2 linked regions of the Macaca fascicularis genome follow. The protein of the gene in region 1 purifies or fractionates together with the protein of each later gene. This does not show direct contact. Links are inferred from orthologs where the notes say so. Each region holds a gene or a part of one and is shown in the gene's direction. Other genes may lie near its edges.

The links.
Region 2: the proteins of REL (region 1) and TNIP2 purify together in Homo sapiens (affinity purification with mass spectrometry; 3 studies listed by BioGRID and IntAct, counting the BioPlex papers as one, with this or other methods). This does not show direct contact. The link is inferred for Macaca fascicularis from reciprocal best matches to the Homo sapiens genes REL and TNIP2.

The regions. Positions count from the first base shown.
Region 1 is NC_088387.1:61,075,438-61,079,260, reverse strand, and holds part of REL (proto-oncogene c-Rel), read left to right. Parts: intron 1-894; coding exon 895-1,043; intron 1,044-3,823. UniProt on the Homo sapiens protein: Proto-oncogene that may play a role in differentiation and lymphopoiesis.
Region 2 is NC_088379.1:2,914,239-2,917,456, reverse strand, and holds the end of TNIP2 (TNFAIP3-interacting protein 2), read left to right. Parts: intron 1-1,693; coding exon 1,694-1,916; coding exon of another isoform or gene 1,917-1,957; exon of another isoform or gene 1,958-2,099; intron 2,100-2,401; coding exon 2,402-2,559; 3' UTR 2,560-2,580; downstream 2,581-3,218. UniProt on the Homo sapiens protein: Inhibits NF-kappa-B activation by blocking the interaction of RIPK1 with its downstream effector NEMO/IKBKG.

The DNA.
Region 1 (3,823 bases):
TCTCTAAAATATTTCTAAGATCTGTATTTTTACTATTCCAGTAGGTCCTAAACACTTTACAGCTTGAGTTGTGTATTTGCCTACTTATAGTCTTGAGCAATTACCTTTACTTTCATACAGAAAGAAATGTAATACTTCCTGGTTACTTTCAAATTCTAATTCAAAATTATGGATTTTAGTTTCCTCTACCTCGTAAGCTAGCCATTCTTACTTTACCTTGCTCCTTTGTGGTATGCTGGTTTTTATATTCCCCGCTTTGTTCTTGCAAATTTACTAGCTTTCAAACTAAGCATTATTTCCTGTCCTCATTCCTCTTCCATGTTAAACTCTCCTTTTTACTCTGTGTTCTAAGATGTACTTTCTATGTGAAATTTGATGTTGTTAAACTCAATTTGATTTATTGCCTATTCTAGAGTGCAGTTGGGGTATGCTTACTGAAAAAATATTTTTGTGAAATGAAATGTCACATATTAAGTAAAATGATCATATTTATGTGCTATCCTTTCCAATATGGCTTAAATATATATTCAAGGAATGTTTATGGTATGACAGTACATTTAAGAGCTGGGCATTTAGTGACTTAACATCTGTTTTCTCATGTTCTATGATAAAATTTGGGTAGAGTTTTACTTGTTTTAAAAGGAAAATTAAGCAGAGTCAAATGATATGACCAAATGAAATTAGGGCAGAAAATATGTCAAGAAGCTGAGAGGTAAGTTCTTCTATACTGGTATTCTCTGGAAAGTTTCATCTAAAGTGCAGTTGTTTGTCAGTTGGACTTTATTTATTTAGTGCCAATTACATTATAATTAATGTAAATTGAACTCTCATTTAGTAGATCAGTTTCTAATGCGATCTATTTGGATCATATATTTAATTTCCCCCTTTTTTCAGATTATGAACTATTATGGAAAAGGAAAAGTGAGAATTACATTAGTAACAAAGAATGACCCATATAAACCTCATCCTCATGATTTAGTTGGAAAAGACTGCAGAGACGGCTACTATGAAGCGGAATTTGGACAAGAACGCAGACCTTTGTTGTAAGTACACAGCTACAGACATCTTCAGAAATAAGATGAGACATAGGACGTTCTGTTTCTTCTCCGTGACAGTCTGTTACTTTTTAGCAGAATAATTTTCTCATTCTACTTCTATTTACTATATTTTACACTTATATTTTTACTATTTGCATTAGAACTACCCTTTCATTCTTCATTAGTAGACACATCTTATGATGGTTAGCAGGAAGACATTTTTATTGTTATTAAAAGTAAACGTAAACTTATTGTATACCGTGATTTCCTTTCTTGGGGTGGACAGTTTTTGAAATAATTTTTCACTCTTTTTTTTTTTTTCAAGACGGAGTTTTGCTCTTGTTGCCTAGGCTAGAGTGCAGTGGCACAATCTTGGCTCACTGCAACCTCCACCTCCTGGGTTCAAGCGATTCTCCTGCCTCAGCCTCCCGAGTAGCTGGGATTACAGGCATGCGCCACCACGCCTGGTTAATTTTTTTTGTATTTTTATTAGAGATGGGGTTTCTGCATGTTGGTCAGGCTGGTCTCGAACTCCCAACCTCAGATGATCTGCCTGCCTCTGCCTCCCAAAGTGTTGGGATTACAGGCGTGGGCCACCGCGCCCGGCCTCTGTCTTTTCATTTATAGTTAACTTATTATTTTGAGACAGGGTCTCCCTCTGTTACCCAGGCTGGAGTGCAGTGGCATGATCTCGGCCCGTTGCATCCTTCACCTCCAGACTCAAGCCATCTTCAGCCTCAGCCTCCTGAGTAGCTGGGACTATAGGCATGCACCACCATGCCCGGCTAATTTTTGTATTTTTTGTAGAGATTGGGTTTTGCTGTGTTGCCCAGGGTGGTCTTGAACTCCTAGACTCAAGCAGTCTTCCCGCTTTGGCCTCCCAAAGTGCTTGGGATTACAGATGTGAGCCATTGTGCCACGCCCATTTACAGTTAACATAAAAATGCCTGGATGTGAGAAAAATCAACTGGAAAACTCTAGAGTTATTATTTAGAAAATGGCAGGTTATAGAATTAACATATAACAATAGTTCTAAGAGAAAAATAATCATGTAATATTTCATGATAGTGAGGCTACCAGAAGATGGGCCCATTCATCATGTTAGAATGTAAATTAATAAAGTCGTCTGGTAGGCAATTTAACTGCATAACAAAAGCCCGAAAAATATGAATGCCTCTTGAGCCAGCCATTCCACTTCTAGGAGTTTAGCCTCAGAAAATAATTACATGTACTCAGACATTATGCTCTAATGCTGTTCATTGCAGTTCTCTTTTTAATGGCAAAAAGCTAGAAGCAATTCAAATAGTAAGCAAAGGGGATTAATTAAATAAACTGATACATTCATGCAATGTACTCCTGTACAGCCTTAAAAATCATATTGTCAGTATGTCTATTGGTATGTAAAGATAGTCACAATATATTAGATAAATAGGTTTTCTGTTTTTTGGTTTTTTTGTTTTTGTGTTTGAGACAGAGTCTTTGTTGCCCAGGCTGCAGTGCAGTGGTGTGATTTTGGCTCACTGCAGCCTCCACCTCCCTGGTTCAAGCGATTCTCCTGCCTGAGCCTCCCATGTTAGCTGGTATTACAGGCATGTGCCACCACGCCCAGCTAATTTTTTGGTATTTTTATTAGAGACAGGGTTTCACCATGTTGACTGGGCTGGTCTCGAATTCCTGACCTCAGGTGATCCACCTGCCTCAGCCTCCCAAAGTACTGGGATTACAAGCATGAGCCACGTCACCTGGCCAGATAAATAGGTTTTAAAACGATATGTAAAGAATAATCCTATTTTCGTTTAAGATAAATTTATACATATATATGAAGTATATATGTTAATACTAAGGTATTAGTAGTTGTCTGGGTGGGTAAGATTGTAGGGTTTTATGTTTTTCTTTTAACTTATATTTTATAATTCATTTTTGTAATGAACATGTATTGGCTTTTGGGGAAAAATGAACTAATTACAACAGAAAAGAGGTTAATAGTCTCTACATATATTAGTAATAACCATTTAGAAAAAAATGCTTTAAATGCTCCTCTTACAATAACACAAAATATCTAGTATTATACACACTTGGCAAATATTTGTCTATATTACTTGACCTCCCAACAACATTTTACACTGTGATCACTCTTTACCTGAAATATTTTTATTCCTTATCTTCTGTGAAAACGAACTTCTGTTTTACTTCCTGCTTTTCTGGCTGTTCTTTCTTAGTTACAGGCAGTTAAATTTTTGGATCACCTTACTTACTGTCCTAATAATGCTCTTTATGGCTGTTCCATCTCTCTCCCCAATTCAGGATCCCATTAAGGATTACACACTATAGGTAGCATTATATTTAACATGAATAACATGAATAATATTTTCATGTTAACATTAAACATTTTGGGCAAGAAATCTATAGAAGTGATGCAGTATAATTCTCAAAATATTCCTTCAGTTTTTTACATTATTAGCAATATTATCTTGGCATTCTATTATAAAGAAGAACTTTCCCTTCCTCTCTTTCTCCATTTAAAAAGTATCACTGTAAACTCATGCATTCTTGTATTTAATGTATTATAGTTATTGTTATTCTTATGATTTTCAAATTGACCCAGATTTGATTAATGCAAGCCTCTTCAAACTGTCTCCTGTGTTTTTTTGATATGTCTTCATCTTTCTTTGAGCACTTTTTTACTTTCTGACAAAACAAAATGTTCAAGACTTGTGCTTTTCTTTTTTGAGACAGAGCCTCGCTCTGTTGCCCAGGCTGGAGTGCAGTGGTGCGATCTCGCCTCA
Region 2 (3,218 bases), on another chromosome or scaffold:
ACAGAGCCAGACTCGGTCTCAAAAAAAAAAATCCAGAAGTTTATTTAGCTCCTCATCAAGTATCTAACACAATTTTGGCCCTGGGAATGGCCCTGGGCCCCACTCAAAGAGCTTCCTCTCCTGGCATAGCCTGAACAGTAGTGATACCTCTTGAGAAACGATGCACCCCGGGCTGGAGCTGGGAGGCCAAGCTGAGCTGCCCCGTGTTTCAGGGTGTGAACAGGGATCCTGGGGCTGTGAGGCCACCCCACTGCCCTGCTCCAAGCAGCCACTGGGCCTCAGTGGCTTCTGATTCTCTGCTTGAAGGGCACAGGAGAGTCATGGTGGACACCTTTTCTAACACACCCTTGGACTAAGTCTGCAGCAGAGGGCTAGACACAGGCAGCTGTTTGTACTTGTGCATGAGGGAGGAGGAACCTGGCGGGGCACTGTGTCTTCCTCCGTTAAGTTCACAGGCTGACAAGGAGGCACTGGAGGCTTCACCAGCCACAGCAGGCCCTGCCTCAAGCCCCTGCCCAGCCCCCGCAGCCTTCTTGGCATCACAGAATGGAATGTGTATGGGTGGCTCCCCATCCCCCAATTTCAGATTCTCCTAAGTCCCTGGCACAGGGATTCTTCAGCATGTCCCCTAGGCAGGAATGGGAACATCTTGCAACAGACCTACATGTGGGTTTTCCTGGGATTTGGTTTTAACTGTGGGTTTTCCTGGGATTTGGTTTTGCCTGTGGGTTTTCCTGGGATTTGGTTTTGCCTGTGGGTTTTCTGGCCTTCACGAATTCAAGGAAGCATGTGATTTGGATTGAAGGATCACTGTTGGTACAATCATGAGGATGGTCTCAGGCCACCTCTCAAAGATTTCGGACCCGAGGAACTGGTTCCAGACTTGCAGGCCCAGATTCTTACCCCTGAGGGTCAAGTTTCTGGTGGGGCCTGCAGACTTTGTACTAAGTGGCCTCTGTGTCCCTTTCAACAGTAGCCTGTGGCCCCTCGAGGGTTGCTCAGTCCCTAGGTGGCACAGCCAGGGACAGTGGTGCTGAAGCTTGGGTGATAAGCTGTAGTCCCACTGGGAAAGTCCACATTCAGACAGGAAGTGGAAGCACCAAGGCCTACTGGAATGAAGTTCGCAGACAAGCAGTGAGGGCCGCAGGCTGCGGTGCTTCAGGACGGATGTTTGGAGAACGCATGCCAGGCTGTGCCAAGTGGTTGGTGGGGCCAAGCCAGGGATACCTCTTGCTGCTACTGAAGGACCTCCTGAGCCCCAGAGTGCTGAGCACCCCCAAGCCCCACAGAGGAGGTACAGAGTAGGGTTTGGACTCAGTTTTCCCAGCTCCCCACCAGAGGCTCTGCCACCTCCACTCTGTAGTGGTGTGTGGGCTACATCATCAGGGCCAACTTATCAGTCGGGTCTCCTAGGGCCGATGGGTCCAACTGAACAGGACTTCCACCAAGGGGTTACGGAGTGGACCATACTAGGGCCTGTTTCTTCATGAGCGCATGAGGGAGCGTGGGTGCGATCTCCTCAGTCATTCACTGAGCACCCCCTTGTCTGGGCTCTGGGGCACAGCAGGAAGCAAAGTGAGGGACTGAAGTTCCGCTCAGGGAGAGATGAAGTACCTCTAGTTGCTGGAACCTGAGACCAGACTTTGTGACCTTCAGCACAGCCCATGTAAATAGACCTTTGCCTTTTCTCCAGGATTCTCAGGAGCCAGACGCCTGCCGGATCCATGCTGGAAGCAAAGCTGCCAAGTACTTGGCCACCGATGCATTGGAGCTTATGGTGCCTGGTGGCTGGAGGCCTGGGACTGGGGCCCAGCAGTTGGAACCCCCTGCAGAGGGCGGGCATCCTGGCATGGCCCAGAGAGGCCAGGGGGACCTTCAGTGCCCTCACTGCCTGGAGTGCTTCAGTGACGAGCAAGGTGAAGAGCTCCTCAGGCATGTGGCTGAGTGCTGCCAGTGACTGAGACTCACCCGTGCCCTTACGGCCCCCTGGCCCGGTGCAGCTGCCCTCAGGGACAGGGTGGGTACTCTCAGATGCCATGGGTTGAGCTCTCCTGAGATCCAAGGCCCCTAAATAGGTGCGGGGCACTGTGATCATTCCCTTTGGTCCCCCTTTGGCTATGGAACAGGCTGGGTCACAGGGAACTGCCAGTGAGGCTGGAGGCTGGAGGCGGAGATGGGGTTAGGAACATCTGGCAGAGGGAGGTCCTGGTCTGTGTCTCCATCAGGCTGAAGCCAGAGCAATCTAGTGCTAGCGTACCAGCCCCTCCCCTAGCCTGCACCTGGGCATGCCGCAGCTTGCCAGAAAGGGGTGGCTGCCTATGGGGGTCACTTGTATGGTCCTTAGGGTGGAAGCCCCATCCTGTTCTGTAGCATAAGGTGTCTCCTCTCTGCCTTGAACCAGGAGGTTTGTCCAATGGAGCATTGCGGCTGTGCATCACACTAGGGGGGCCGCCCCCGCCATTGCAGAGCCGCATGTCTGCCCTGAGAAACTGCATCGCAGTAGCACTGTCATCTGTCCGGAAGTTAAAGCACACTTACTCTATCCACCTATTTTTATAATAAACGTTCTTGCTACTGTGACTGCTCTGAGAATGTGTGTTGGAAGCTGGGGTGCAGGGACTGAGCAGTATTGACAGCAGCTGGCACGGGAAAACGCTCCTGCTGTTGCCTTCTCCCAAGGCACCAAGACAAGGGGGTGAGTGGGAGCCTGGCTGTGTTAGGGTTCTTTAGAGGGACAGAACTAATGGAATAGATAGATCCATAAAGGGGAGTGTGTTAAGTATCGACTCACACGATCACAAGTTCCCACAATAGGCCATCTGCGGGCTGAGGAACAAGGAGAGCCAGTCCAAGTTTTGAAACTGAAGAACGTGGAGTCCCATGTTCAAGGGCAAGATGTAGGCTGGGAGGCCAGGCCGGTCTCTCCTTTCACGTTTTTCTGCCTGCTTATATTCTAGCAGCACTGGCAGCTGATTAGATGGTGCCCACCCACACTGAAGGTGGGTCTGCCTTTCCCAGCCCAGTGACTCAAATGTTAATCTCCTTGGCAACACCCCCACAGACACGCCCAGGATCAATACTTCGTATCCTTCAATCCAAAAGTTGACACTCAATATTAACCATCACGAGTCCACCCCTTGTCAGCTTGAACCCATACATATTCCTGAGATAATAATCTTCAAATAAAGACAAAAATAAAGTCACATCTAACATAATAC